Linked DNA regions of Diceros bicornis minor. The protein of the gene in region 3 binds, or shares a complex with, the protein of the main gene of each other region. Links are inferred from orthologs where the notes say so. Each region holds a gene or a part of one and is shown on either strand. Other genes may lie near its edges.

Region 1 (10,334 bases), on a different chromosome or scaffold from region 3:
GTGTCTCCCTCAAATTCATATGTTGAAACCTAACCCCCAAAGGGATGGTATTAGGAGGTGGGGCCTTTGGGAGGTAGGTCGAGAGGGTGGAGACCTCATGATGAAATTAGTGCTTAATAAGGAGAGACAGGAGAGAGCATGCTTCCTCGCTCTCCCTCTCTCCCTCCTTCCATGTGTGGACACAGCGAGAAGGCAGCCATCTGCAAACTGGGAAGCAGTCTCTCACCAGACACTGGATCTACACCTTGATCTTGGACTTTACAGCCCCCAGAACTGTGAGAAATAAGTGTTTGTTTTTTAAGCCACTCAGTCTTTGGTAATTTGTTATAGCAGTCTGAACGGACTAAGACAATCTGCTCCATTTTAGATGAGGAAACTCAGGTTTAGAGAGATTAAATACTGGCTCGGGGTCATACAACTAGTAAATGGCGGAGCAGAGATTCAGGCCAGTGCTGTCTGGTTCCGAGGCCAGTATTATAACCCCTGAAGATTGAAAGTTACTAAGTGGAAGCAATAGCAAATGTTTGCTTTTTGGAGAAAGTTTGAGATAGAGAGGATGGTAGGGTAGCAGAACATGCCACCACGAAATACGCCACCTCGGCATAAGGGTTATTTTGAACTGAAGGCAACTGAGAAGAAGCAGATACAAGAAAAGCTTTCCATCCTCCCCGTTTGCCTGAAAGTAGGACATAAATTTGTAAAGGTGTCTGCCCTCTTCTCTTTACCAGGAAGGATAAAAGTTAATCACTGGAGACAACTTGAGACCCTTATCAGCCCGAAGATGGTACCAGAGGAATCTACATGACAAACTTTACTACCCAGCCCTTATCTTCCATTAGTTTCTTCATATAGTTGCCTTTGCACAATTTACCATCCTAGAAACTCAAAGTCCTTTTCACTCAAAGTCTTGTCACTTCTCTATAAATTTATCGTTCTTTTGTCAATATGTTATATAAGCCCAAGTTCTCATCAGCCCTTTGAGTTACTCATCACTAGATACTCCGGTGTGTGTGTGTGTGTGTGTGTGTGTGTGTGATGCATATGTTAATAAACTTCTGCTTGTTTTTCTCTTGATAATCTGTCTTTTGCTAGTTTAATTATAGGGCCCCAGCCTGAGAACCTAAAACGAGTAGAGGCAAAAAATATTTTTTTCCTCCCTTACGGGATGAATGCTTGAGAAGGAAGCAGGGTCCTGGGAAGATATTTTCAGGATTAGGCAGGCTGAGTCAGAAGGCAGGGGAAAAGTCTCTAAGGGAGCAGAGACTGTTAATGCTAGAGAAATCCAGGACAGATGATGAACAAAGTACTTACTTTAGTTCTTGATTTGTGCGGATGTGAGCTAATTTGCCTCGTCAGCTATTTTGAGATTTAGGTACCTATTTAGTTAGTTGAGATGGATTAACAGGTAAGGCGAGTTGAAAGGCACTTACTATTTGATGGCAGAATGAAGTAAATTTTTTTATCTTACCTCAATTTTCCTCTTTAAAACTACTACATAATGTAAAAAATTAAAATGTAAAATTAAGCCACTACGTAAAAAAGAAGGAAGTTCTGATACATGCTTCAACATGGATGAACTTTGAAAACATCATGTCAAGTGAAATAAGCCTGACACAAAAAGACAAATATTGTATTATTCTACTTATATAAAATATCTAGAATTAAGGCAAATTCCTAGAGATAGAAAGAAGATTAGAAGTTACCAGGGGCTGGGGGGAGGAGGTGGGAATGCAGAGTTGTTGCTTAATTGGTGCAGAGTTTCTGTTTTGGGTGATGAAAATTTTGGAAATAGATAGTGATGATTGTACAACATTGTGAATGTAATTAATGCCACTGAGTAGTACACTTTAAAATGGTTGAAATGGCAAATTTTATGTTATATATATTTTACCACAATTAAAACAGTAAAAAAAATTAATCCACTAAATTGGAATTAATCCTGTGGTTACATTGAGTTGTTTTTTTTGAGGTGGGAGGGTTTGGATAGGTCAGGACAGAAGAATATTTTATAATATATACAAATTATATTTCCCTGAAGAAGCCACATTACTTTCTACCAAAGAGTATGCAGGATATTATAAGCATTCATGCGACAAGACAGATTGCTATTGCATTAGTAGCTTGAATCATTCTTTATATAATTTCATGCTAGCCACACCCTTCTGACCTAGAAATACTGAGGCTGCAAATATGTAGGTGGTTTTAATTATTATAAAGGTTTATTTAAGCATCAATGGTGGAGACTTTGTGTATATTACACAAATAGCCATGTCCCTCACCTCCGAGTGGGATATTTTTCCTATGCTTTCCCTAAGCCCTAGCTAGAGGCTGCCTCAGACGCAATCCAGATGATGTCTTTTTTTTTTTTTGTGAGGAAGATTGGCCCTGAGCTAACATCTGCCAATTCTCCTCTTTTTGCTGAGGAAGACTGGCCCTGGGCTAACATCCGTGCCCATCTTCCTCCACTTTACATGGGACGCCGCCACAGCATGGCTTGTCAAGCGGTGCGTCTGTGCGCACCTGGGATCCGAACCGGTGAACCCCAGGCCATCCCAGTGGAGCGCGCACACTTAACCGCTTGCGCCACGGGCCGACCCCCAGATGATGTCTTTATTGTGTAACAAGGATGAGAAGGCAGAATAAAAATCCATATGTTTAACCCCAATCTTGAATTCTCTGAAATCAAGCTAATTTGGGCTGACATTTGGAAATGGTCAAGTTGGTCATTGTCGTAGTCAACATTGTCAGCAGACAAAGAGAATCCTTTTTTAGTTCATTAGTGTGGTGTCCATGTGTAAGTACCTCTGACACAAAAATGGCCTGATTATGGCGATATACGGAGCCCACTTTTGTCTTCAGTTGAGGAGTACCTTCAGAGTACAGGCTATCACCCAAAAGTGTTTTGAATGAATGCAGTCATTGCTTTTAGTGTTAGGACTTAGTCACAGGCCATAGGCACTGTGAACAGGAGTGATTTCAGTGGTTGACAACATTCAACGTCTATATACTTTAATGGTTTGCTAGCACGTGTATGGGAGGGTTTCAAGTTTGGCAATGATAGTAATAACAGCTAAGATTTGGGTAAAGGATGGGCAACTGAGATGGGGGTTTGGATTATGAATAACATATTCTAATATTGGCATTAGAAGGCTTAGCTGTGTTCAATATCTGTCCCAACTGGCTGAAATGAGACAAGCCATTGAAATAAAAGAATAATTATGAGCATTCTTTAAAAGTAAACAATGAATCCATTAGACTGAGATGGCTCTAGTGCCTTGGTAGCCTACATAAACAAACTGAAACCTATGCCAGAGTCAATAGACCAGAAGCGAAGGAAACGAAACTTAAGAACAACTAATTACAAACAGCCAACTAGGCTTTCCCAAATAAGGCCATGACTTAAGCTACAGCCAATCAAAGACTTTCTTTGATTTGCTTCGGAGTCTTCTCTATAAAAACCTCTCCCCTAGCTCCTGTCAGTGGAGAGCTCCTAAACATTTTTGGTTTTGGGCTTCCCCAATTTGAACTGATGTTTTCTCAAATAAGATATTCAAAATTTTAATGTACCTCTGTTTTTTTAACAGTTCATTAAGTGCTTTCCATGTGGTAGATCTAGTTCTGCAAAAGCCTGATTCTCTAATTGTGAAACTCATAATTCTCAAGTGACTAGGAAATGAGCATGTGTTAAAGTTTTATTTAACACAAATGGAAATAAATGAAGACCACTCAAATGAGAATAGAGACTACAGAGCTTGCTATAGCAAGGGAGTCAGCCACCATTACTTGTGTTTGGCAGAAACTCAAACTCAATCAGGGAACTGGGAAGTTTTATAGACTAAAAAAAAAGGATGCTTCTGGTACGTTCTGATTAAAGGTTGTTGGCAGAGGAAGCTGGAGGTGGAGTAACTAGAAGTGGGGCATCTGTGTGATTGGTTTGGGGAGTGTATTTGTTTTTCTCTGGTGATCTTGTGGGGGGGGTGTATGTGTTGGGGGGTGGGGGCTAAAATAGGGAAGTTGGCAGCCTTTGAGCAAATCCTGACCATTCTGAGCTGATTGCTGCAGAGGTTGTGTCTTGGTTTCTTATGTGGGTCAGAGTTTTATCATCACATATAATCTAGCCATTGTCTATTTGTATATTAAGTCTCTCACTCATTAATAAGGGAGCCAGCAGAATGATAGAACTAATTCCATGAGGATATGAGAAACTGGAGTTTATATAATCATTGAGGAAAGGAACTATGAAATAAAAATTAATGAATTGATACAACACTGACTCATTTCTCAGGACAACGCAATTTTAACCTTTGGGATTATTTTTTGTACTGGATACCTGCTCCTGCTCCTTCTCCTCATTACACCTCATCAGTTTTTTTTTTTTACCAGTTAATCTCTGATTATAGTGGGCTGTAAAACATTTGGGCCTTAATAAACTGTTATTCAAAAGAAGTTAAATTTCCTAACGGTGTCAGATGATTATCAAGTGGGTTTATTACAAAATCCTAGAATGAAACTAACTTTAAAAAGCCACACAATCAATCATCTTTTGGCTTTATTTCCAAGTTTTGAATAAAAATTCATCTATTATCTCATTTAATCTTCACAACAGTCCAATTCAAGTAACCCACTGTGATAGTACAATTATTCCAACTTCCCAGATGAGAAAACCAAGACACAGGTTAAGTAACTTGAGGAGTAATCAGCACTAATTAATTAAACGACAGCTACAGAATAGTTGAGCATTGGCTATGCTGCTGTTTTAAGTTATAAAAGTGAGGAAAGGTCAGCCGTGGGAAATCTGACGCACTCCAATTCACTGCAGGCTGTGGCAAGGCCAATTATCTTTTTCGTCACTTTATTTCTACCCCTTTACGTTGCTTCTGAACCCGAAATGCTTTTTCTAAGAGAGTTCACAGATGTGTGGTTGGGAGTTCAGAAACGGCTTCACGTCAGGATTTGTCTTCGCTAGCTACGCTGTCACGAGCAAGTCATTTAGCTTCACGGGGCCTCCTGCTTTCTCACTTGTAAAAGAGCGCTGGAACAACGTGCTTTGAAATTTAGGTGCTGGTGAGTGGCATTTGATGTCACAAAACACCTGGTAGACAATAACTTGAAAAATCGCGTCGCTACTTGGGTAAACAGATTCCAGAGCACGCTGGAGGAGGATCTAGTAGGTCTAAATTTCTGTAAAAGAAAGATTTCTTCCATCTTAGCGGCCGCTCCTCGCCTCCTACCTCTGCCCGGCTCTCCGCCCCGCCCCCAGCCACCTTCGCGTTGTCAAGGAGACCCGGGACGCCCCAGCTGGCTGAGCCCTCTCCCGCGGTATCCCTAGCGGGGCACGTGATGACGCACGCGCGCTCTCGGCGGCGGAGGCGTCGCGGTGGCTGCCGGGACTGAGCTCCTAGCAGCTTGCTCAGGAAGTGGCGGGCGGAGCCCCGGGCCGAGTCGCCGCCTCAGCCACCGCCGCCGCCGCTGCCAGTGCCGAGACCCCGAGCTGGCGGGGCAGCGCTGGGCGTGCGTGCGGGCAGGCGGGGGCGCTGACGAGGAGCAGGAAGCGGTGGCCAAGCCGGCGTGGGCGGCTGGTCCGGGCGGAGGCGCGGGGAGGCGGCGGCGGGGCGCGTGGGGCGGCCCTTCTGGCTCAGGTAGGGGCTGTGGCGGCCGGGTGAGGGGCGCGGAGCCCCGGCCTGTTGTTCCTCGGGACGCCGACCCCCGCGGGGCGAGCGTCTCTCCCACCCCTCGGGAGGCTGGGGCCGCCGTGCCCTACGCGAAACACCTACACACGGCAACAACTTCTTGGGAGCATTGTCTTTTAGGCTGGAGATTCATGGAGCAAACTTTTGGGTTGGAAAGAGGGAAATCGACAGTCCGATAGCTGACTGTGCCTCTTCCTGGCCCTCAGTTTACATTAGCAGGAGCCGAGCGAACCCTGTGTGTGGAGTGTGGGGAACCACGGTGTCCCACCAACTCAAGGCTGTGATTTAGATGCTCCTTCACGGACTATATTTTTAAAGCTGCCTTGTAATGATTCCTAAACTTTGGTTATAATAGTTGTTTTCTGCGGTCTAAAGACGTGTTCTAAAACAAAAAGGTTGCGTCTACCGCTACATTTCTGTCATTTCGGAGGTGAGCAGTCTCTTTTCTCATCTGGCCAGCTGCTCATAGCAGGGGTCTTAGGTGCCACGGGCCCCTCTGGGAAAGAAGCAAAAGAGAGGAAAAGTAGGAAGGTTGAAAGAACTCGAATGATGTAGTGGAAAGAACGTGGGCTTCGGAGCCAGAAGATTCTGATGTAAGTTTTGGCTTCTCCATGTGCATCCGTGGAGGAACACGTGCACTCATTGAGTTGTGGCGGTGGTATTTTTTTAATGTAAATTGGCAGAGTGGTGTGGCCTGTTTACTACACAAGTCAGTGCATGTAAAGCACTACGAATACTGAGTAGTCTTCTGAGAAAAAAGGAGGAAAAGTTAGGCGGAGCATGCGGTGGTGACAGACAGACATGAAGCCTTCTGCGATGGGTGCCATTCAACGGTACCTGTCCTGCACAGGTCGCCTTTGTTGGAGAGGCCTTTCCCTTTACCAGCATTTCAGGTCTGGAGTATGGAGCACTTGAGTTACGAGTCAGGATATTCGGGTCTTGGTCCAGGTACTTCCAGCTCTGTGACCTTAACTTTACCTCTTCACTTCAGATTTCACATATTAAAATAGGAATAAAACTAGTACCTATTATCTCGTAGAGTTGTGAGGATCAAATGCTGTAAGGATTTAGATCTTTGTGAACCATAAGCCTCTTATTTAAATGTGTTAAAATCGTGATTAAAAGCCTGGATCGATTACCTGTCTTTACAAGGTGAAATAAACAGATACAGATGTTTCCTGTTTTAGGCTTGTTGCCCCCACCTCATCACTTGTGAATTCTCTTATTCTCACACTTTCCCTCCCCCATCTCTTACTGTCGGCACCCCAGTATAATATCATTCTGTTATTTTTCAGATGCAATTCAAAATAGTAATATTGAAATAACATGTATTTGTATAGCTTTACTATTTAAAAAGTTGCTTTCACAAACATTTTCTCGTTTTAGTCTTACAGTTGGGCTAAATGTAGACAGCATTGGTAGTATCCTCACTTTACTTATAAAAAAAATTGGATTTAGAGAGGTCTAGTGGATTGCCTTTGGTCAGTTGCTGTTGGGGTTAGAACTGAGGGGAGAAGGCAGGTCTTTCATTCGAGGTCCAGTGCCAGTGACTCTTCCTTACTTAACTGAAGTTTACTCTGATTATTTCTTACCAGTGCTTATGTTTTTAACTTTTGGCACTCTAAGTCACATTTTATTTATCCATGCTTTTTAAGCGAGGTGCTCAATGTGTTCGTGTTCTCAAATGTAAGCTGCTTGAAGACAAGGGTTTATTTTCCAGAACCTTTCAAAGCTTGGAGTACAGTGCCTCACAAACAGAAGACATTTTGTAAAGGCTTGTGAAACCAATAACAATGAGGCCAGAGCAATTTAAAGATGTTTTTGTGTTCATTGTTCATTTAACAAATATTGAACTACCCTGTGCTGGAAGGCTTTCAAAGTATTAGTCTTTTTCCTCTAGGACCTTCCTTCCCAATTTATGAACACTAGTTTTAACAGTGCAAATGTAATTTAAATAGTCAGCTTGTACACTTCCTGGACTCTCCACAGGGTTCTAGAGAGAGTTCAGACAAGAGAGGAACATTAAAAAATTTTTGTTAAATTACCTGTGGCTTCCCTGGTTGTGCTGAAGTTGCTTAGAATTGGAGTTTTAGAACTGGGAAAAAAACTCGAAGAGGTCTAGCTCCACCTCTCTCCAAATCGGGAATTTTCTGTAGATATTTCTAACAAATATTAGTCCAGCCTCTTCATCACTTAACAATAGAGAGTTCACTAGTTTTAAAATACACCTTGTCATTTATAAGCAATTATGATGGTACTCTCTTTTTTTTTTTTTTTTTTGCAATGAGTATAAATCTGCCTCCTAATTTCTGCCTGGTAGTCCTGATGTTATTTCTAGAGCAGCGTTGTCCAATAGAAACATAACGCGAGCTGCAAGTGTGAGCCACACACGTAATTTAAAATTTTCTAGTAGCCGTATATCTTTTAAAAGTATAAGAAAATTAGGGGAAATTAATGTTTTATTTAACCCGGTATATTCAGAATATTATCATGTCAGCATGTAATCAGTCTAAAATATCTCATTAGTAATTTTAAAAGTTCTTTTTTTTGTACTAAGTCTTTTAAATCTGATGTATTTTACACTTAGAGTACATCTCAAATCCAGCCCCATTTCAGGTGCTTAATAGGCACATGTGGCCATTGACTGCCATGTTGGGCAGTGCAGTTCTCGAGCTTTAGAGAATAATTCTGTTTCTCTTTACTAGTGCCTAGTAAAGTGCTTGGCACATAATAGGCTCTAATTAAAGATTTTTTGAGTGAATGAGTAAGTGAATAAATACAAGTGCTGTATAACTAGTAATAACAGATAATTTTGTTTGGGAAGCAACTCTTGTTGAGACCTATGGATTTGGCATATAGGTTTGAGTGACTGGAATCTGTATGAAAGATAATTATTTTTATCTTCGCAGCATTATGGATCCAAGCCTGTTGAGAGAGCGGGAGCTGTTCAAAAAACGGGCTCTTTCCACTCCTGTAGTAGAAAAACGTTCAGTATCTTCTGAATCATCATCATCATCATCAAAGAAGAAGAAAGCAAAGCTAGAACATGGAGGGTCATCAGGTTCTAAACAAAATTCTGGTTAGTAAAATTGACCATTTAGGACTGTTTAGTTTTTATTTTTCACTAAACCATTTAGTCGTGGCAAGTTCGTTTTTCAGTTCAACATTCACATTGATTGATAGGCATTTTGTTAAGTATAAGGGATGAAATGATAAGGCAAGTTTTTGCTCTTAAGATGTTAATAGTCTTGTGTAGTAGTTAGAATTTAGGTTATCTTTAAAAAAAAATAACTTCATTGAGGTTTAATTTATGTACCATACAGTTAACTTGTTTTAAGTGTACAACTCAAAGATTTTTAGTAAATTTACAGAGTTGTACAACTGTTACTATAATCCAATTTTAGAACATTTCCATCAGCCCCAGGAGATCCCTTGTGTCCATTTTCAGTCACTCCTTGTTCCCACCCCTGCCCCAGATAACCAGTAATCTACTTTCTTTTCTGCTATATTGTTGCCTTTTCTGGCCGTTTCATATAAAGGGAATTGTACACTATGTGGTCTTTAGTCTGTGACTTCTGTTACTTAGCATCTATTGAGATGACCATGTTATTCTTGTTTTTTATTCTGTTAACATGGTATATTACATTAATTGATTTTCATATGTTAAACCAACCTTGCATCCTTGGAATAAATCCTCCTTAGTTATGGTGTATAATTGTTATACAAATGGGATTCAGTTTGCTGATATTTTGTCCAGGATTCATCCATGTTGTAGCATATATCAGTACTTAATTCCATTTTATTGCTGAAGAGTATTCTATTGTACGGATATACCACAATTTGTTTATCGATTCACCAGTTAAGGGACATTTGGATTATTTCCACTTTTTGGCTATTACGAGTAGTGCTCCTATGAACATTCATGTACAAGTCACGTGTGAATATGTTTTTTTCTCTCTTGGATGGAGACCTAAGAGTGAAATTTCTGGGTCATATGGTAAATTTATGTTTAAATTTATGGCTGTACCAGTTTACATTCTCACTATCAATGCATGATAGTTCCATTTTTTCTCTTTCTTGCCAGGACTTCTTATTCCTTGTCTTTTTGATCGTAACCATTCTAGTGGACGTGAAGTGGTATCATTGTGGTTTTAGTATGCAGTTCCCTAATGACTAATGATGTTGAACATTATTTCATGTGCTTATTGACCATTCATGTGTCTTCTTTGGAAAATGTCTATTCACATTTTTTGCCCATTTAAAAAAATTGGATTGTCTTCTTCCTATTGATTTGTAAGAGTTCTTTACATATTCTGGATACAAGTTCTTGATCCAATATCATTTGTGTTCTTGGTGTCATATCTAAGAAATCTTTGCCTAACCCGAGGTCATGAAAATTTACTCCTATTTCTTTGAAGAGTTTTATAGTTTTAGCTCTTACATTTAGGTCTATGATATGTTTGAGTTGATTTTTTGTGTATGGTTTAACATAAGGGTCTAAATTCATCTTTTTGCCTGTGGTTATTCATTTGTTCTTGTGCCATTTCTTGAAAAGACTGTCTTTTCCCCATTGACTTGCTTTGGCACCCTTGGCGAATATCAGTTGACTATAAGTGAAAGAATATATTTCTAGAATCTCAGTTT
Region 2 (10,767 bases), on a different chromosome or scaffold from region 3:
TTCCAGGCTATGCAAGTGACTCATTCAAGTCAATGTGATCTGACTTCCTAAGAGACTGAAAGTGTTGGAAGGACACGAGCAGGGCTCCTTGCCAATTCAAAATTCTATGCCAAATGGGTGGTATCTTCCGGGCCTGGGGTGCCCTCAGGAGCCAAAAACACAACACTCTCTCTCCCAGACAGAAAAATCCCATTGGAAGGTAAATGTAGGGGAGAGTCAGCCAGGAGACTAAGATAACCCTGAACCCAAATACCAAAAGGCTGGGCTAGATCCTACACTGACATGTCATCATCTGGCTGTGGACCAGAAACATAATATACCATAGGAGAACAGGAAAAATGGTTTTAAAGTAAATGGAAAAATTTTTTTTAAAAAGGGCAAGGGTGTCTGAAAAAGTAAAGTTTAATTTAAAAAAATCACATACACAAAACAACTTCTGATTCATTTTAAGCTCTCCCACTGGGTCTTTTACAGGTTAGTCAGTTTCCCATTGAGTCCAGACCACCTAAAGATGCAGCCACAGTGGACAGAAAGCCAGCACCTCCCGAACAGGTGAACAACAGCAACTCCACTCAGGCTTGAACGACTGTCTGTGGCCTGAGAGACTAAGCAGCAAGGTTGGCTTCCGGGATGGTTCAGAAGGCCAGTTTTTTCATCAGCAGATACACTCTGGAATCCACTTCAAATCCATGCAGGTTGTTGGCATCACCCTGCAGCCTCATGAGCAGGCCCCCATAGGACACATAGGCAGAGCTGAAACAGAAGACCCATCCCATGAATCTGAGCTCTGGAGCAGCTGCTACTCAGCAGCTCTCCACCCCAGCCTAAGAAAAAGAGGCACCTTCTAGTCCTTTGTCATTAGGAACCAAAATTCAGACAAAGATAAATGCACAGGTATGTGCAAGGCAGTGTTCTCTACACTAGCAAAGGTGGAAAATACTACATGCCCAGAATATGGGAAATGGTCAAATCCATTAAGATACATCCATTTACTAGAATGTTATGCAGCTATTAAAATGTTTAGAGAAAGCCTTAAACTGACATGGGGAAACATTTTTACATAACTTTAAGCAAAAAGAGCAGAAGAAAACACTGTAATAAACAATATGATCTCAAAGAAAAAAGTACACAGGGAAAAAAACCTAGAATATTCAAAAATGTTTACGTAAAAGGTTCCCTCTGGGTATGGAATTATAGGTGACCTTTTTTCCTTCTTCACAGTACTTCTCCGCTTTTCAGATTTCTTACAAAGTACACATATTGTTTTAATAAGATTTTAAAGAAAAGAAAAAATAGCTGGGAAGGGAAAGCAAAGAAAGAGGGATCGGGTTGCAGAGTAGCAAAACACACACAAATAAACAAAAACAAAAAAGACTGGCAGTTTAATCACTTAATGCTGCATTTTGTTCCTGGGGAAGCAATCTTCCCTTGCACTTCACACAGCCAGATGACCAGTTTCCATATGGACCACCGGGCCCTGGGGTCCTAACAAAGGGCTAAGTGAGCAGCCTACATTTCAGACTGGAAACTGCTCCCAGAACAGTTTCTTTCTGGGTCTCGCCTAGGTCTGAGGTGCTTGGGGAGAGGGACCCAACACAGGAAGCATGAGCATGGCCTGAATTTTCAGAGCATAGCCCAAATTCTCAGAACAGGGCGGAGGGAAGGGTTTTCACGAGACCACGGAACTTACAGACGTGTTGCCGCTTCAGTAGAAGTTTCATCTCCCTCAATTCTGTACACTTTCCCATACATTACATACTCAAATTGGTCAGCCCTGCGGAACAACAGTGGCAAAGTTATTCTTAAAAGTAGTTAACAACGGGGGCCAGCCCAGTGGTGCAGTGGTTAAGTTCGGCGCGCTCCGCTTTGGCGGCCAGGGGATCACAGGTTCAGATCCCTGGCTCAAACCAACACCACTCATCAAGCCCTGCTGTGGCGGTGTCCCACACACAAAATAGAGGATGGGCACAGGTGTTAGCTAAGGGCCAATCTTCCTCACCTAAAAAAAAAGTAGTTAATAATAAAAGGCCCTTTAAAAATGGTAACTGAACTAAGTGCCAGCATTGTAACAGCAGGCACCTTCCAAACACGAGCTCATTTAGTCCTCACAGCAACCCCGTGAGCTAGGTATGACCATCTGTATTTTACTGATGAGGAAACTGAGGCTGAAAGACATGGAGGTTATTCAGTAAATAAGTGGTAGGGCTGAGATCTGAACTCAGTGGGGCTCCAAAAGCCTTTCCGTCACACCAAATTCCCTCCCAAGATTCAAGGCCCACACAGCCCAGGTCACTCAGTGGTCATTTCCTCAGCCACCAAAAAGCTACAACTCACAAGCATGTAATCACTGCTCTGGATAAACACCTGGTTGTCTGAATTCTTCAGTGCACCAATTTCCTTAGGGTTACTCAGATTCTGCTGATAATCATTTAGTCCATGAATTAAATACGGGTCTTTCTATACAGGCCTTATCTACTTAGTTCTCAGGCATATTTCTTTTTTTTTTTTGTGAGGAAGTTTAACTCTGAGCTAACATCTGTTGCTAATCCTCCTCTTTTTGCTGAGGAAGACTGGCCCTGGGCTCACATCCGTGCCCATCTTCCTCTACTTCATATGGGACGCCGCCACAGCACAGCCTGACAGCAGTACGTCTGTCCGCGCCTGGGATCCGAACCTGCGAACCCCGGGCCGCCGCAGCGGAGCACGGGAACTTAACTGCTATGCCACCGGGCCGGCCCCAGTCCTCAGGCATATTTCAGGTACTCCTTTCTCCACTCCCTCACCTGGAAGGCCTGTCATCGGTGGGATTGTATTCACCATCATCCAGGGTGCCATCTTCATACAAGGTACTGGCTATGACCAACCGGAACTTGTCACCTGAGAATAACAGCAATATCTGAGGGTGAAGAACAGCCAAAATGGCAAAAAGCCTCCTGCTACTGTCTGTGTTCAACACTTACCCAAGTCTACAGGGTAAATCTGAATGTTCACATCTAAGATGAGGTCCATCTTGAAAGATTCACTCTCACAATGCAGTCGAGACACTGGAGGGAAGTAGAGAAAGAGTGACAGAGGTAACTGCCTGGCCCGAGGCAGATCCTGCAGATCCCACTTTGGGGGACTGTATGCAATAAAACACTCAGTCGAACCCAGTCTGCATCCACTGGCCTCTCGTCTGCTCTCATAAGAGCGCAGGCTCAATCAGAACCAGATATGCAAGAAGGAAAGGGGAGAAAAACCATGGCAGGTGGACAGAATCCTTGGAAAAGAATCAAAGGTCCTCTGGCAACAAGTAATATCCAGGTTCTAGGCCTACCTAAGTGATTAAGAAACAACCTGACTTAGGGCAAGTTATTCATTCATCCAGAGGTTTCATCTTTCTGTGCCAGGCGCCGTGCTGAGGGGATTATCGACACATGTAAGAACTAGTGTTTTTCTTGAAAAACATCTCAGTCTCCAGGCAAAGGAAGAGACGCCAAGGAGAAACAATTATTGATCAATGACAGAATAAAGAGGTGCATATCAAGCAGTCAACTCTAACTCACAGAGGAGTTCACAAAGAGCTAAAGATTCTAAGGGCAATACAAGAATACAGGCTCTGAAGTCGCATTACTCGCTGTGCAGCCTTGGGTGGGTTACTTAACCTCTCTGAGCAAAATGGGTAAGACACCGTCTACCTCATGGAGACTCTTGAAAGGCATAAGTAAGACAAAAGAGTGTGTAAGGTGCACAGTACAGCGCCTAGTACAGAGTGGGGAGTGATTAGAAAGATGCCCCGAGTTTACTAGCACCGTGAGAAAGGGCCCCCCAGGCACCCGGCACAGCGTGTGTGAAGCCAGGGAGAGCTAGGAGTCTCCGTTTTCTCGTCCATAAAATGTTTCCTCAGGGAGGTCCCTACATCAGGACCTGCCGGTAGGAGCAGGCCACGTGAGCTGGGTGGACAAGGGGCCCAGGGGCGTGTCCCCGAGGAGGAGATTGGCCCCTTACCCCAAACTGCCCCTACAAACCTTGCTTACCTCGGTCAAACTTCTTGCCCTCCGGGTCAATATCTTTCACATCAAAAATATCCTCAAACAGGATGCCCGCCATGGTGAGCGAGCCACAAGAATAGGAGAGAGGCTGAGGGCGCGACCACGACTAGGTGTACACACACCCCCTCGCGTGGAGAATACAAGCGGAGACGGAAAAGGTAGCGCCCACAGAGCGGCGGCAAAGGAAAAGAATAACGCATGCGCACGGACGTACGGGGATGAAGCCACTTCCGCCGCCTTGCTCTCGGGGCTTCTTAACGTCCTCCCCGAACGATTGCTTCCGAGAGGCTTCGGCGTTGAGGTCGGGTCCCAGGTCCAGATAACTCCGCCCCAGGGCGGGGACACAACGGGTCCCACCTTCCGCCGAGGTGGCGCCGGTTCTCGCTGGCTGCTGAGGCTCTACTGCGCCCTCTTCGGAGTGCCCCGGAAGACTGGAATGCGTGCGGGCCTACCCCAGCCAGGGACCTTGATCCTTGGCCCAGAGAAGCCTGGCCCTAGCCCTACCCTGCCGGTCCGCCCGCCTGCCGAGGGCACAGTCCGCGCCGAGGGCAGGCGGAGCAGAACCACGCCTCCAGAGCGCGGGCCCGGCAGGGGGCTGTACCCAGCTCCTCCAGCTGGCACCGAGGCCCCGCCAGGCCGGCCCGGCCCAGCTCGGCTCTGCTGGATGTCACCCGAGCCAGGTCCACCCAGTTTGGGAATTTGCCATGATGTCACTATGGCGAAGAGAAAAGCCTGCACTGTCCCCTCCCCTGGTACTGCACACTCCCCGCCACTGCTTCCTTCCCCCACGCCGCCCTTTTAGCCTGGCGTTAGCCACATCACACTGCCCTCCTCCTGAGCACTGCCCCTTCATCTTGGTGCTGCCCATTCCGCCACCACTGCACTGTCCCTGTGGACACTGATCTCCTACGTGCCCTTTCATCCTGGCACTGTCCTCTCCCACGGATACCAGCTCTTCCCTTACATTGCCCCTTCCCCTTGGGTGCTGGCTCCTCTCACACTGCCCCCTTCCTGGGCACTGCCCACTCTGTGCTCACTCTGCTCTCTGCTCTGTCCTTCTCCGGACCCTGATAGAGAACGCAGAGCCCCAGCAGGCCTTTCCCCCATGGTGGCGAGACGTCAGCAGCTACTCGGGTTTCTCCTTGGTCCCTGCCAGGGAAAAGCGACCTCTGTCCCCCCACGCCCGCCTCCCAGGAGCGGCCTCCTCGCACCTAGACCTCCCTTCCCTCGGGCCTCACCCCTTCGCGTTCCCTCCCCACCTCCACCCCCGCACAGCCGGCAGGCGAGATTGCTCCAGGTGCACCTCCCTGGAAGAACAGAGAAGAAGGGAAGGAGGAAGGGAGCGGATGAGAGAGACCGAGGGTCTCAGTTCTGAGCATCGCCCCCCTTTCTGGGCCTGGCGTCCCCCTCCGAGTACCCCCAGCTTTGCTTCTCACCCCCATGGGAGCAGAGGGGTCTTGCCAGGCCCCTCTGAGCCGCTGGCCCCTCCAGAGAAGCTAGAGAGGGCGCCACTCCTGAGAGAGAGATTGGGCCCGAAGAGTCTGATTTAGACGGCTCTGCAGACCCTGGCCGCAGACCCTCCTGAGCCCCGGCGTCTCCAGCCCCTCCCGCCCGGGCGCCGGGAGCCGCAGACCCCGCCCGGCCCCTCCACGTGCCAGCCGGCCCGCCCCCGCTCCGGTCCCGGGCGCCCCTCTCAGCCCCCGGCCTCCGCGGAGAGGGCCCCAGGACTCGCCCGTTCCAAGCGCCCCCTGCCGCCTCTCCGGTGCCTGGGAGGCGGCCCTATCGCAGACCCCGGCCCGGCTGGGCCGGCCCCTGTGAATGGGCCGGCGGGCGGAGCAGCACGGAGGGCACCGCCCTCGGCCCGCCCGCCTGGGACGGGACGCGAGCGGGTGGCTGCGCCAGCAGCGCCCGCCTGGGGCCCGCGGCGCTCTGCGCTCGGCCTCCCGGGCTGCGGGGACGGGACGGGTACCGGCGCGGGCTCTGCGGGCCGGGAGCCGAGTCCGGGCCGGAGCCCGAGCCGCCGCGGGAGGCCAGAGGGCTGTGCGCGGAGATGGCGGCGCCGGCGGCGGCAGCGGCGGCGGAAGGGATGGAGCCGCGGGCGCTGCACTACCAGCAGACCCTGGTAAGTGAAGCCGAGCCGAGCCCTGAGGAGTGCGCTCCGGAACCGCTGCTCCTGGTTACCCTTGGAAGCGCGAGGACTGCGGTCCTACCCTAACCTCACCCCAGCCTTCTGAGCTGGAGAAACTGAAGCTCGAGGGCCAGAGAGGCTGGAGGGCTAAGGAGTGGAAAGCTGCATTCAGGTTTCTGGCTGAGGCTGGGGGCCTGCAGGGGACAAGGATATCAGGGGCTTGTCCCAGGTGTCCTTCTCTTTACCCCCCGCCCACGTTTTCTTTGCTCCTTCCCCTCACTACCTGGGCCCAAGTCTCAGCACCCCAGTACCCCTCCCCAGCGCCGCTCACACCCTTGAACATTCTCTCTCTACACTCCTTTCTCCATTCCCTCTGTCCCCACTATGTGCATGGCACGGTGCTAGACACAGAAATGAGTGTGTAGAAAGATCATCAGACCCTAACCTGGCCCCAGCCCTTACCCCTGGGGGCTGGCAACCCAGCATTGACAGGAACCCCTTTTTTCTCTGGAAAAAAGGTGGCTTGCCCCGTGGAGGAAGAGAGCTTTAGGGAGGATGGGTCAAGCAGGAATGGGTGTGGGAATTGGGACCTTTGTCCATGCTGACTGGGTATCCAGCCCCCACCTATCCCAGGGGTGTCCCTTGACCTTATTAGAAGCAGGGGTCCTGGGGCTCTGAGCTGACTCATGGCCATCGCTGTAACTTAGTGTTTGAGAAGACTTTTGCACCTTCCTATGTCGCTGGGGTGGGAGACCCAATCTCTAGGGAAAGGAGTGGGCCCTGTGGCTTCTTTTTTACCAGCTTGGGTTGGAATTTGCCCAGGAAGAAGGCAGGGAGGAAACCTCTCCAGGAGGATGGGGCCTGGGCTTTAACTGAGGCTGGCAGGTGCCCAGTTACCAGAGAGTGACTGGATGAAACAGGATGACAGGAAGAGGTGGCAGAGGTGGAGGTGGAGCAAGGGTAGAGGGGCAAGCGTTCGCAAGGGGTGGGAGGTGTCTGTCAGTCTGCCCAGGCTGAGAATGGGGCATTGGTCAAGGAAGCCAGGCACCTGGCCACTGAAATGGTATCCATCTGTTGCGCAGCCACATCTCCATCTCCTTCGCCTGGTCTGTATGTCTGAACTGAGTTCTCAGGGTCAAGCTCTCTCCTAGGCACTCTCTGCTCCAGCCTCTCCCCCTGCTCCTTCCCATCCCTTTGTCTTTCTCTCACACACTCACCTCCCACCTCCTACAGTGTGTCTACCTCTTTATACTCTACTCTCTCCTCTTTTCCTCCTCCCTTCTTCCCCTCTCCTTCTCTCTCTCCTCTGCCCCTTCCCTTGGCCTCTCCTTTCCCCCTCTTTCTCCTATGTTCTCTTTCCTCCCTTCCTCGCTCTCTATCACTCTCTCTCTGTCTCTATCTTTCCCTCCCCCCCCACAACCCCAGCCCCAACAGGAGCCCTTTGTGTCCCGAAGCTCTGCGGGTGGCAGCCGGAATCTACTCCTCCCCACCCCCCAACACACGCCCAGCTTGGCAGGTCTAATCCCATCACCCCAGCATCCACAGTCACAGCCCAACCATCAGCTTCTGCTGTCCCCCAACCCACCACTGGACTCAGGGCAGCTCCAGAGTGGGGTCAAGGCCACTGAGCTCTCTCCACCTACTCAGAGAGACTTTCCACTCCCAGCTGGGCTGGCAGGCTGGTGGGGGGTGGGGGTGGAGAATGGGGACAAGGGGATTAGGTTGGGCGGGATGGGTGCAGCTGAGTCGGTCACAGGCCAGAGGCCCAGCAGGAACGTGATAAGGATTGGGGCCCCGCCTGCTCCTAGGCCCAACTCAGCTGCCCCCAGCTCCATGAGGCCCTTATTGTTACCCATACGCCCTTGACCATCCCTTCTTCTCTGACCTTCCCTCCTCCCACTCTCAGACTGCCTTAGGTTTTTCCATCTTTTCCTCCTCTAGGGCCTTGCCTCCCACTCCTCCTCAGTGCTCCCCCCCAGGCCTATGAGAAGAGGACTGATTATTCTGCCACCCCCAGAGCTGTGTCCCTGTACCTTGGCTGTCCCCATCACTCCAGCCAGGACAGCCCCCACAGTCTGCAATGTGCATTGTTCCCACACCCCAAGCCAAAGTGGGAACTGTGGGTTCAGGAGGGGTATATAATGTGGGGACTGGGAGAAAGGGAGTTGAGGCCCCAGGGGCCCTCCCTGCATTACCACTCAGCCCACATCTGCTAACCCCCACCTTCCCTATTGCTCAGATGTATGGCCGCTATACTCAGGAGCTGGGGGCCTTTGCCAAAGAGGAAGCTGCTCGGATCCGCCTGGGAGGGCCGGAGCCCTGGAGGGGTCCGCCTTCCCCTCGGACTCCCCCGGAGCTCCTGGAATACAGACAGAGCCGCTGCACCCGATGCCACAGTGAGATCTGGGTTGGGGCGGGGGACCTGGCTGTACCGTGCTGAGGGGGACAGAGGCCATTAGAGCTGCCCTTTGGGGGGTGGAGGGGGGATAGGGTAAAAGCACTTTTGTGCCAGCCTCCCCCTTCTTCCATTCCCTGCTTCCAGTCTGTTCTGTACACTGCCATAAGTTCCTAGTGTCCAGGGTTGGTGAAGACTGGATCTTCCTGGTCCTGCTGGGGCTCCTCATGGCGCTGGTCAGCTGGGCCATGGACTATGCCATCGCTGCCTGTCTGCAGGGTAAGGACAAGGGCTGGCAGGGGGCGGGCTGGGAAGAGCCAACCTGCTTCCTCCATGCCACACTTGTCCAAGTTTCTTGGCTACTTGGCCACTGACCACTTTCCCCGGCCTGACTGCCCCATCTTCAGTCATGCTCACTGCCACTCACCTAGGCTACAACTTCTTGCCCCCGCTCTCCATCTGACTCTGTTACCTATGGTGATCTTTGTCCCAGTGAATGCCCTCCAGGGCCCCCTCCCTACCCCTTGTCCTCGGGCTCTCTGCGATATTCCCTGGGGCAGCTTGTTATATTGGTATGTCCCAGTGGCCAGGCGGGGACTGGGTGTGCGCATCGGGGGCCAGCAGCACGTCTCCTCCCCACAGCTCAGCAGTGGATGTCCCGGGGCTTGAACACCAACCTCTTGCTCCAGTACCTGGCCTGGGTCACTTACCCCATCGTCCTCATCACTTTCTCAGCCGGCTTCACACAGATCCTGGCTCCTCAGGCTGTCGGTACAATAGGAGAGCAGGGGAGGGCAAAGGTGGGACCTCCTGAAACAGGCACATTGGATGACTCTCCTGGGACTGTGCCCTCTCCAGGGTCCGGCATCCCCGAGATGAAGACCATCTTGCGGGGAGTGGTGCTGAAAGAATACCTCACTCTCAAGACCTTTGTAGCTAAGGTCATCGGGCTGACCTGTGCCCTGGGAAGTGGGATGCCCCTCGGCAAAGAGGTAACTGCCTGTTGGGGAATGAAGGAGTCCCTTCCAGTGGAGGAAGAAGCCAGGCCAAGGTCAGGAGGCACCCTTCCCCACTCACCGCCTGCCCCCACCCCACAGGGCCCTTTTGTGCATATTGCAAGTTTGTGTGCCGCCCTGCTCAGCAAGTTCCTCTCCCTCTTTGGGGGCATCTATGAGGTAAGGGGGACCCTGGGGGACGGCAGAGGGGAGGGGTGGGCTGCTGAGCCCATGCTGACTCCTCTTTCCACCACTCCTGTCAGAATGAATCCCGGAAAACAGAGATGCTGGCCGCTGCCTGTGCTGTGGGAGTGGGCTGCTGCTTTGCCGCACCTATTGGAGGTCAGCAGTCCTTCCGGCCCCCTAGCCCTGCCCTTGGCCTCACCTCCTTTGCCCCTCTTGTCTGGGTCTGTGTCCCTAGGCCCAGCCCAGGCCTCACGTGGCGCCCTCCCCTGCCCCCTCCCAGGCGTCCTGTTCAGCATTGAGGTCACCTCCACCTTCTTCGCTGTGCGGAACTACTGGCGGGGCTTCTTTGCTGCCACCTTCAGTGCCTTCATCTTCCGGGTCTTGGCAGTCTGGAACCGTGATGAAGGTGGGGGGGATCTGGGAGATGAGGGGAGCCCCTGAGATGGCTCGGGTGGGGGTCCTCGGTGCTACACCTGCCTCCCTCTGCTACTCTGCCATCCCTTCAGAGACCATTACAGCTCTCTTCAAAACCCGATTCCGGCTCGACTTCCCCTTTGACCTCCAGGAGCTGCCTGCCTTTGCTGTCATTGGGTGAGGAGCTGAGGGAGCTGGGTGTGTCGGAGAGGAGGAGGGAAAAGAGGGAAGACCTCCTTTTACCCTGGGGCTTCTTCCCTCTCCAGTATTGCTAGTGGCTTCGGGGGAGCGCTCTTTGTCTACCTGAACCGCAAGATTGTTCAGGTGATGCGGAAGCAGAAAACCATCAACCGCTTCCTCATGAAGAAGTGAGTTGGTTCTGGGCTCCTCTCTAGGCCACTTGGGGTTCTGTGAGGGTCACAGTGGGGTGGGGGGGCCAGTGACAGGTGAGATGGCAAATAATGGCCCAGTCAAAAAGAGAAAATCAGCCAGTGGTGTTTTCCAGGCTGCTTGAACATTTTGGCTTTTATATGAATTATCTGAAAATGGGCACTTTTGAATTTTTTGTCAATGGAAGAGAGCATTTTGGATCAAAGACTGAGGCTTCCTTAGGCCCTC
Region 3 (11,260 bases):
CTCGTTGGCATTGCCTCCAAGAGAGGCCCTTTGGCCAAGATCACGCACTCTTCTGGGGCAAACCACATGCAATGATTGGTAGACACAGGGTATACCTTGCCCCAACTCAGGATAGCTCCGGAGGGCTCCCTGTGGAATCGTCCTTAGCTTCCACTGAGATTGCATCATACCCTCTGCCCCATCCTGCTTAAGTCCTTTTCCTTCCACAGGTGGTGATCCCAAGAGCACTCCCTAATAAACCCCTGCATGCTAATCTCCATTTCAGAATCAGCTCCCAGGGAACCCAATCTATGACAGGCAGCTTTTTCTATCATATTCTCTTGAAGGTCAACATATGGAGTTGACAAGATCCAAGGACGGAGAAATGAAATCCCCACCTCGTCTCTGTTCTCGAGGGAGATAACTCATTAAAAAGACTTAAGAGGAAAAAAGACATTTTCTATTCCTGGCATAAGCTCTGTAGCCAAACAGACCTAAATTGGAATCACTGTTCCACGCTTGGGCAAGATAATTAGCCCCGCTAAGCCTCAATTTTATCATCTGAAAAATAAAGATAATTAGTACCTATGAAGTAGGTACTAATTTGTACAATACTGCATACATAAGAAATGTAAGTTCCTTTTTCCCCTACTATCTGCAAGGCTTTGAGATATCACCCACTCTAGTTTCATCTCTCCCTGGTATATAGCTTTCTCTATAGCTTTCTCTTTGACTGTCAATGTCCAACTGCTTACCTGTCTGTGAAAAAAAAAGCTGAGCCTGTTGGCATTTGAGTTGAATAAAAGACACAGCATTCAGAGGGGATGATGTCCATCCCTCCTTTCCTGATCCTCTCCTCTCACAAACATTAGTCAGCATGCTTACAAGAGGGTTGAGCGGACTAGAAACACATCTTTTTGCTGGCTAGAAAGCTGTTGGTTAGACCTACCACAGCTCTTGTCAGTACCTCCACCTGTCCATTCCCAGAAAAGAAATAACATTTCTTATAATTCAGGCCCCAGGATGATACTCACGATTTACAAAAATCCCACGGCTCCTAACAACCTTGGCAGCTTTATCTCTTCCTCTTCCCCATCATGTACCTCCGCCAACCTTAACTAGAGACAATCATTTTACCAGAAGTCTAAATATTGGAAGCCAAACAACAGAACTATGCTAAAATATTTTTAAACATCACCAATTTTTAAATCATGATTTAGTATAGGCTGTGTAGTAGCAGTGTGACCAATTGGCAACCTAACACTGGCACCAAGTGACCAATAGGAATAGGGTAATGCAAACTACAAGGGACGAGCTCCCTAACAAGGTTAAAATTGTGACTGTATGTTTTGGCAGATGACATCTATCGTAAAGTCAAATCCAATCACGTCTATTACCTATCAAAACTTGTTCGGATCATCATTCTGTTGTAGATTTAAGACATTCCAAACCTGAACACACTCTAGTTCTCCCCGGCCCTGCTGGGAAGTTTTTTCTAACTAATCAACTCTATAGGCTCTTCTTAAATGTCACCTTCCCCATGAAGTCTTTCCTGTTGCAGCTAGCCAATTTTTTTCCTGTCCAAAACTCTCAGAGATCTTATATGTATAGCTCTTACTGTATTTATTCTGTTCTATACCTGTTTAGTGATGGAATTAATAAAATATGCACAAGATGGCCCATAAACTTTGAAATACTCTAGCAAGAAACTCATATATTTTGCGACAATCCTCAAAGATCAGAACTCAAGGTATTATTTGTAATGAGAAATATTAATGTATAGAGAAAAGACTCGAAACTGGTATGTAGTTCTATTCACAAACTCTGATTGGATAAGAATGAAGACACTTTCTAAGCAACATGTTATATTTTAATATCACACAAAAAAAGCTGAAAATGAGCCTGACCATTAAGATTTGATTCACTCATATAATTTATTCCTGCAATTCAGAGATGAAAATCCAAGTATGCTCAAGATATGGGCATGAAAATCACATTGGATGCTAACCCTAGCGCAAATGAAACAAGTTCAAACTATCTGACAAATGTGCAAATCAAACTCCATTTTATTTATTTATTTTGTGTGTGTGTGAGGAAGATCAGCCCTGAGCTAACATCCGATGCCAATCTTCCTCTTTTTGCTGAGGAAGATTGGCCCTGGGCTAACATCCGTGCCCCTCTTCCTCTACTTTATATGGGACGCAGCAACAGCACAGCTTGATAAGCGGTGCGTCAGTGCGCGCCCAGGAGCGGAACCTGCGAACCCCGGGCCCCCAAAGCTGAGCACACGCACTTAACCACTGAGCCACCAGGCTGGCCCCTGGGACTCCTTTAACTAGAGCAGAAATAAAAGTTGTCAAATAAAGGAGGAACATGAATGGATTTTAGAACAGAAAGTATTTGTTAGCAATCCTCGTCCTTGTCAGATGACAAGAACTGGCAAGAAAGTCTTTTTGCACCCCAGAGAGATGTATTGGCAAGCCTGTTATTTTCTTTGATACATAACATTAGACAAAGAAGAAACACTGTATGCCAAGTTGATATGAGGAAACAATGACAATGCAAACAATAAATAATCAAAACATTACAACTACCTTTAGAAAACGAGAACAAATCATTGGCTTCACTTGAGTTCTTTTTAAAGATTTTATTTATTTATTTTCTCCCCAAAGCCCCAGTAGATAGTTGTATGTCATAGCTGCACATCCTTCTAGTTGCTGTATGTGGGACACGGCCTCAGCATGGCCGGAGAAGCGGTGCCTCGGTGCGCACCAGGGATCCGAACCCGGGCCACCAGCAGCGGAGTGCTCGCACTTAACCGCTAAGCCACGGGGCCGGCCCCTTGAGTTCTTTTTAAAGAGAGAAAATGTATTCAAATGGCCATATATGAGAGCCCTAAAATTTTTTAACTTCTTCATTTTAGATTCATTACATTCTTTCACATTCTCATTTAGTCAACAAATCCTGACAACTTTCACTGAAAAAGTTTCCCTCCTCAGACTTCATTACCATACACCCATGATCCTGTGATAATTTTCTAATTTTGACTCTGGTTATCTTCCCCTCAAGTTTTTTTTTTTTTCCCTGAAAAAATCATTTGCACCCCTGCCTTACTCAAAATCCTCCAAAAGGTTCCTTACTTCCTGCAGACTAAGGTTAAGACATCCTCATTTCACGATATGACAATGAGTATATGGTCCCAACCTTTTTCACACAGACCCTCTGCTCTAAGCATAATAATCTGTTTTCCAGGACATACCATGTTAATGTGCATTTTCAGTCTTGCATTTCTGTTCCACTCTCTATGGTACACTATGCTATGCCTCTGTCTACCCATCCAAAACCTGTAAGGCAAACGTTTATTGAGCATCTACAATGCTCCAAGCACAAATGCATCGTCTCAAATTCCACCATTTTTTCAAGCTCGCTCTTTCAGTCTGCAAGGGAGATCTCCTTAACGATTCTCCTCCATTTAGCATGCAGTAGGAGAGAGAAAGGCTCATTTACTCCATCCTTTTAAGTCATATTCATATAGCTGGGATAAGTCAAATGAGTGCCCGAGACTAAGGTTAGGGATGAAGAATAAGAGAGTATTCATTCATTCATCACATATCTGTTGAGCAATTACCATGTGCCAGACACAATTCTGGGTGTGACAGGCAAGGATCCTATTCTCATGGAAGGTGACTGTGGGTGGGTGGGTGCGTGTGTGCGCACGCGCAAGCGCTGGGGAGAAGGAAGTAACCAACACCGAACACATGAACATAGAATCACTGTATGATAAGCGCTTTGAAGAATATAATACAGGTTTGACATGCTAGTGAATGATTATAAGGGAGCTATTTATAGAGGTGGATAGGAAAGGCCTCTCAGATTTAATTGATGAAAACTCAGCCGTGTGGTAAAAGTTTTTAAAAAAATTAACAAACCAAAGGTCCCTACATTCTGCTTGAGGTTCAAAGACTGTCATAATCACATTTTGAACATACATATGTCTTATGAAACTCCCCTAAGAGATAACACTCCCCAATATGAAAAAGTAAAGCACAAATACTGTGCTAAGGACTAATCAAGATTGCTGTTTTTACAAAAAAACTTTTATTGACGGCCAGTGTCACGAGACCCAGTCGTGCCCTAAAAGAACACTCCAGTCCAATGGCCTCTCCTTCCGCGAGTTCAGAGCTATCTCGCTCTCCTGAGAACTCCATTAAGGGCCATCAACCAAAGGAAACACTTTAAGGGTACGCAGGAACCAGTTCTACTTTCTGACCGAGAAAACTGTACAGAAAGCAGACCCTCAACTTCCTCCTACAGACTCACGACTAAAATCAGTTTCACCAAGACAAGATGCAGAAATTCTTCAGTGTGGGGTAAAATGCACCGCTCAAGTCGGGGGACACCAAGACAGGGGCCCAGCAAAATCAGGTCGTGGGGAAAAGAGATCCATTCCAGGCAAGTCCGGACTCTTAACTGAGTAAAGACACTATGTGTCCTAAACTAATTTTCTCGTCTTCTAACGAACATAACAGTAAGTTCTGCCTCTCAAGTTATGTGAAGCTCTAACGAGATGGCAGTAAAGAGCTTTAAAAGGCGCACGGAATGGGACGGTCTCAAGTCACTTAAACTATTTATACTAGGAGGAGTGCAAGCGGAACCCGCGCGAACATTACCTTGACCAGCCACACTCCGGTGTTCTGTTTGGCGCCGGTCAGGTCGAGTTCCCCGCGCTCGGCCATGGGTCTGTCGCCGGTGGAGGCGTCCGGGCCACAGCAGCTGCCCAGGGAGCTGAGGGGCTGCGGAGTTAGGGACTGGAGCACAAGACAAGCCGCGGCCGGAGGCAGACTTGGAAGACTCGGCGTCCACCTGCCAGGACGCTGGGAACCTGGGGAACAAGGAACACGCCGCTGGGAGCCGGGAACTGCGCCTGCGCACTGCCACTGTCAGTACGGCGCGCTAGTGCGGACAAACTTCCTGGTTTGGCAACTTCTCCAGTAGGCGTGGCTACTAGCGCAGGCTGTGTCTCAGTGATTAAAACATAGGGTGGCATGGGCCAAAACGTCACCAATACGTTTAAAGACTAGGTCGACTTAACTGAAGAAAAAAAGTATCAAAACAGAAAAATGGGATTCAAAGAGACAAAGGCTGTCAGTATAAGTCCAACTCTGGCCAAGGAGAGGAAACAGCATTAGGAGGACAATGTCAGAGTAATAAATAGAGGAAGTGAATTAGCAGAAGTGAGGGCTGGGATTAGACTGAATAGCCCTGGGTATATGGAAAACAAGCTCTTTCTAGACCTGAAAAAAAAGCAATGTCTCAACTGAGAGGCTACTCTGAACACCTCTGATTAAGCAAGCAGACCACACCCCCTTTCAGACTCCAAAACCAGGAGTCCATATTATTAGGGCAGTGACAATGGACATATAAGAGACAAAGCTGACTGTCAGACTCCGCTGCTTAAATAGTTTCCTCTCTCTCTTCTTAGTTCTAGAATAAAATTCAATTCTCTCTACCCAGGCCCTCTCAATTTGATCCCTGCCACTCAATGCTGCACACATCCAACAACGCGGAACCCATCAGAACACTCTGAAGGAAGCCGGGTACCTGAGGGTTACTGTAAATGTTCAATAAGATTACCTTTTGACCTTGTTCCCAACACAGACATAGATGAAAAGAACTTAATCTTGTCAATTTGCTGTTTTCTTGTTTTACCTGAGGGGTTATTCAGGGGTCACAAGGATTTATGAGCTTGTTTTGCAGAAGAAAAAGAATGCTTTCAAGGATCAACAGATAACCAGCCCCCAGCTCCTGTGGACGCTCAGGAGTCAGATTGCCCAGGGGCTTTATTAGGTGTGAAAGAAACAGGGATTACCCTTTGTTTCTCCAAAACTCCCCCTGCCAAGCCCCTTAGCTCTATAAAACCCCCTGCTTTCTTCTCTTGTTAAAGTGGATTTGAGCGCTGGCCCGGTGGCTTAGCGGTTAAGTGTGCACATCTGCTACTGGTGGCCTGGCTTCAGATCCCGGCGACGCAGAACACACCACTTGTTTGGCCATGCTGAGGCCGTGTCCCACATACAGCAACTAGCAGGATGTGCAAGTGTAACATACAACTATCTATTGGGGCTTTGGTGGATTTGAGAGAACCTATCCTCCCACCTTCTCATTTTGGCCACTTTGAATAAATCTTTTTCCATCTCCAAGCACGATGTCTCAGTGATTGGCTTATTGCACATCCGGCACACAAATTTGAGATTAAGAGGGTCAGTATCATGAACACATCAGAATCTTCCTCAGTTATTTCAGAACCTCTGCCCTGAGCCTCAATTTCCTTTACTCAGATGCCCTATTCTTCTCTTACCCTCACTCTCTCCCCTGTCCACTGATTGGCAAACTCCTACTTAGGTTTCAAGACTAATGGAAATGTCACTTCCTATGAGAAGTTTTATCAACTCCCACAGAGGAAGTTCATTTTTCTTCACATCACAGTGTGTGATACTTAGCACGCTGCACTATAATATACATGTTTACATGCTGCCTTTGCTTTCTAGCCTATGAGCTCCTGTAGGTGGAAATAGTGTTTTATTCACTTCATATCCACAACATCTAGCACAGTATTTGACACACTGTCAGATTTCAATAGGCTTTGGCTGAAGGAACACTCGCTGAAGAGAAACAGTAAGATATTGTAAGAATGACGAGTAATGTATTGAATCACACATCAAAGCCATGTATATAATTGAAGAAATTCCGTGTCTGTGCAGCACAGGGTCGGGAAAAGCCGTGAGGTTTCTGTGATCGCTAGGAAAACTGATAGGACAAATGAGAGACCAGGCACATGTTGAAAAGGAAGGTTGCATTCTTGTGTCGCAGTGTGGGAGAGGGCCTTAAAACATAGAAGGGACAAAAGAGCTACTTGAAGCTTTGATCAGATAGAAAGAATCAATTGAAATACAAGACCATGGGAGAAGTGAATTAACATAGCCTGGAGCACCATTGTAATGGACTTTAAAGGATTAAGACCTTGGCCTCTATCTGTGGGTCATGGGAAGCCTTAAAATGCAGGTGGGTGTGTGTGTGTGTGTGTGTGTGTGTGTGTGTTTACAGGGATTGGGGGAAAACAAATGGCTAAAGAAGAAGCAATGGCTAGAGAAGAGAGGAAAGAGTGAAGATTTAAAAATTATATAGGGAAGAAGGAAAAAAAAAGAAAAACTCTTGATTGAGCACCTTTTCCTCATACACTGTTAAACAAAGAACAAACTTCCCTTATTGGTCCTTTTCAAATCCTCTTCCAGATTGAGGAGGGATGTTTATGGAGCTGGAGAGAAAAGGAAGACATGGGCTCTGGCAGATTCACAGATATGCTCTGGAGACCAACAGGGTAACACATTGCAGGCAGATTCTTCACCCTCCTAAGGGCCTATTATATGCCAGACATCAATAATTTTGGCCTGATCCGACTGTATGTTCCTTCCACCATGATCCCACAACCTTAATATCCATTCTCATAAATTTGTGATTTCTGTTTGTATAAATTATAAAACTTAAGTAGTTCTTTTGGAGTATAGCACATCTCCTCATGGGTCACACTTTGTACCTCACCCTTGGGGCCTGCTGGAAATTGAGTCTAGTTATAGGTCTAGAAGCAAAAAGAGGTGGTGTGTGTGAGGAAGATCAGCCCTGAGCTAACATCTGTTGCCAATCCTCCTCTTTTTCGCTGAGGAAGACTGGCCCTAGGCTAACATCTGTGAGCATCTTCCTCTACTTTATATGGGACGCCACCACAGCATGACTTGACAAGTGGTGCGTCAGTGCTTGCCGGGATTGGAACCAGCAAACCCCCAGCCACTGCAGCACAACGCACACAGTTAACCCCTGCGCCACCGGGCCGGCCACAAGTGGTGGGTCTTGAGGAGAATTAGCATTGTCTTGCAAGGCAACTGCCTTAAAGGAAGCCATTACAGTGTCCTCAGACAGTGTAGGGTTAATGGTGGGGGCGGATTTAGGGGGGAAGAGTCAGTACCACTGGAGGTGGGATGGCTGCTTGCTTCTACTGGGGGTGGGGAGGCCACTTCCACTGGCAAAGAAGATTCATCAGAATTTAGGGTCTCAGCGTCCCCAGCTTTATCCGAGTCTTCCCACTTGTCCCCATTCCAACTTATAGAATCCCATTCTTTCCCAATCAGTGTTCTCTCCTTAACAGCAGACAACCTATGAGGCTGGGAGTTCAAATATTTGTTAGCTTTCCAAAAATGTTCAAAAGTATCATACACACAGTCACCTAGATCCTTGCTTCTTTTTTATTATTATTATTATTATTATTATTATTATTATTATTATTTTGTGTGTGTGAGGAGATCAGCCCTGTGCTAACGTCTGCCAATGCTCCTCTTTTCTTTCTTTTTTTTTTTTTTTGCTGAGGAAGACTGGCCCTGAGCTAGCATCCATGCCCATCTTCCTCCACTTTATATGGGACGCTGCCACAGCATGGCTTGACAAGCAGTGTGTCAGTGCGCACAAACCCCAGACTGCCGCAGCGAAGTGCGCACGCTCAACCGCTTGCACCACTGGGCCGGCCCCCTTGCTTCTTATAAGTGGTTGATTAGGTGTATGCAATGCAGATATTTTATGTGTTTCTATTGCCCAATCACATCAGGGACTATCAGTGCTCTCTTTACTACTGGAAATAGAGTCATTATCACCTTTAAATTGAATCAGATTAGAGAGCTAATTTCAGAAACACCAGAACCAATTTAGAAAACTCATCTTTATAGTTTTATTTATTTATTTTTTTTTCCCCCAAAGCCCCAGTAGATAGTTGCATGTCATAGCTGCACATCCTTCTAGTTGCTGTATGTGGGACGCGGCCTCAGCATGGCAGGAGAAGCGGTGCATTGGTGTGCGCCTGGGATCTGAACCCCGGGCCGCCAGCAGCGGAGCGCGCGCGCTTAACCGCTAAGCCATGGGGCCGGCCAGAAAACTCATCTTTAACATTCTGTTCCCCTAGAACAACTCTAGGTACCAAAATCTGTATTAGTCAGAGTTCTGTACACACACACACACACACACACACACATATAGAGAGAGAGAGAGAGAGAGATTTATTATAAGGAATTGGCTCATACAATTATGGGGCTGAGAAGCTCTAAGATATGCAACTGTCAAGCTGGAGACCCAGGAGAGCTTATGGCGTACTTCCAGTCTAAGTCCAAAGGCCTGAGAAGCAAGAGAACTGATGGTGTAAATTCCAGCCTGAGTCCTAGTCTGGAGGCAGGAGAAGATTGATGTCCCAGCTTGGAGACAGTTAGGTGGAGAGAGCAAATTCTCCCTTACTGAACCTTTTTTTTTTTTCTATTTAAGCCCTCAACAGATTGCATGAGGCCCACCCACACTGGGAAGAGCAATCTGCTTTACACAGTCTACTGACTCAAATGTTAATTCATCCAGAAACACCCTCACAGACACACACTGAGAACAATGTTTGACCAAATATTATTTGGGCAACTTGAGGCCCAGTCAAGTTGACACATAAAATTAACCATCACAGATGCAGAGGTCAGTGCCCAAAAATGTAACTCCAAAATTCTTTATTCTCCCAGATGATTGACTAGTCAAGTTCTTTTTTTTTTCTTTTTTTGTGAGGAAGATCAGCCCTGAGCTAACATCCATGCCAATCCTCCTCTTTTTTTGTTGAGGAAGACTGGCCCTGAGCTAACATCCATGCCGATCTTCCTCCACTTTATGTGGGATGCCGCCACAGCATGGCGTGACAAGCGGTGCATCGGTGCGTGCCCGGGATCCGAACCCAGGCTGCCAGCAGCAGAGCATGCACACTTAACCACTATGCCACGGGGCTGGCCCTTGACTAGTCAAGTTCTTATTCAGTGTGTTAAGGCATAAATGCAAGTCAAGGAGGGAGGGCTCAAGAACTCCCTACTGGCTGAGATTTGTCCAAGAAGTTTAGTAGTTCTTAGAACTACCTATGACTCCACCGTTAGTCCAGGGCTTAGATTCTGGTTCAGATCTCAAGGCAGCCCTACCTGCTTAATATGCAGAACTACATTCTCCTTTGTTGGTCTTCTAGACTAGCTGCAGCAGGAACAAATCCCCCCCAACAACCCCAAGTATCACCAAACATGCTTCATTCGAGATGAATGTTCTCAGCCTCTTGTTCCTAGACAACTTTATTAGGATCCTCTGAGGGCTGCACTAAAAACACTGACACCTGAGCCCCAATCCATGTGAACAAAATCAGAATTCTGCAAGTGGGTCTGGAAATTGACATTTTAGCAAGCTCCCTGGGTATTTCTTAGGCACACCAAAATCTGAGAATCATTGTTCTAATCCCACATTGATAGAGTTTATTAGAACTGGGCCAGACTCCAATGTCTGAGGCCCACAAGTTTACCAGAAATTTTTTTCTTTGTCATTTTTCTGACAGCTAGAATTCCCCCAAGCCTTGTAAATTGAGAACACCACAATTCTATCATGTAGCCATTAGACCATAAGCAGCAAAGTCATTAAAGGAGATGTTATAAGTGAGTTGAGGGAATTAGAATGATATTAACAGGTAGCTGAGTCCGCTCTCAGATTTTGTCCTTGGCTGTAACACACGAGTCCAGTGTCTCTCCAGGCCAAAGATTTTCTTTATTCGTGTGCACTCAGAAACATTCTAGCAACAGGAACTATTACCTCCAGGGATATTCACATAGGCAAAAAACACCACCACAAAGTCCTTCTTAATAAAGCAAACTTACTATTTATTAGTCACTAATTTAAGATTTTCATTCAAAAATTACAAATTAAGTAGATTAATTAGTGGTAATTAACTAGATTTCATCTACATTGGTGATGTCGTAAGTAGATAATTTTGCTTTGATAACACACCAAGGCTGTAACACCCCATCTCATTCTCCCTGCCTTCCCCTTCACTCCAACAGTTCTCTTTCACAGAGTAGTCACCTTCCCTGGGAGATTCCTTGTTTCCTCAGTCATATACAAACAAAAAAATACTCCCTAAAATAGTTTCCATATTGTTTAGTGTAGAGGGCATGAGCTTTGGAGTCCAACATATTTTCAAGTCACAGCTCTGCTGCATACTAGCCTAATTATTATTATTTGTGTGTGTGTGTGAGGAAGATCAGCCCTGAGCTAACATCCATGCCAATCCTCCTCTTTTTGCTGAGGAAGACTGGCCCTGGGCTAACATCCGTGCCCATCTTCCTCCACTTTATGTGGGATGCCGCCACAGCATGGCCTGACAAGCGAGCGGTGCATCGGTGCGCGC

What was found.
Region 1: GTF2F2 (region 3) and GTF2E2 share a complex: the UniProt entries of both Homo sapiens proteins name them as parts of the TBP-based Pol II pre-initiation complex. The link is inferred for Diceros bicornis minor from reciprocal best matches to the Homo sapiens genes GTF2F2 and GTF2E2.
Region 2: GTF2F2 (region 3) and POLR2H share a complex: the UniProt entries of both Homo sapiens proteins name them as parts of the TBP-based Pol II pre-initiation complex. The link is inferred for Diceros bicornis minor from reciprocal best matches to the Homo sapiens genes GTF2F2 and POLR2H.

What each region holds. Positions count from the first base shown.
Region 1 is NC_080768.1:28,324,043-28,334,376, reverse strand, and holds the start of GTF2E2 (transcription initiation factor IIE subunit beta), read left to right. Parts: upstream 1-5,467; 5' UTR 5,468-5,639; intron 5,640-8,599; 5' UTR 8,600-8,603; coding exon 8,604-8,769; intron 8,770-10,334. UniProt on the Homo sapiens protein: Recruits TFIIH to the initiation complex and stimulates the RNA polymerase II C-terminal domain kinase and DNA-dependent ATPase activities of TFIIH. Both TFIIH and TFIIE are required for promoter clearance by RNA polymerase.
Region 2 is NC_080754.1:39,334,095-39,344,861, forward strand, and holds POLR2H (DNA-directed RNA polymerases I, II, and III subunit RPABC3), read right to left. Parts: upstream 4,212-10,767; 5' UTR 4,090-4,211; coding exon 4,017-4,089; intron 3,045-4,016; coding exon 2,961-3,044; intron 2,878-2,960; coding exon 2,784-2,877; intron 1,775-2,783; coding exon 1,691-1,774; intron 754-1,690; coding exon 636-753; 3' UTR 385-635; downstream 1-384. UniProt on the Homo sapiens protein: DNA-dependent RNA polymerase catalyzes the transcription of DNA into RNA using the four ribonucleoside triphosphates as substrates.
Region 3 is NC_080748.1:31,592,738-31,603,997, forward strand, and holds the start of GTF2F2 (general transcription factor IIF subunit 2), read right to left. Parts: upstream 4,932-11,260; 5' UTR 4,716-4,931; coding exon 4,650-4,715; intron 1-4,649. UniProt on the Homo sapiens protein: TFIIF is a general transcription initiation factor that binds to RNA polymerase II and helps to recruit it to the initiation complex in collaboration with TFIIB.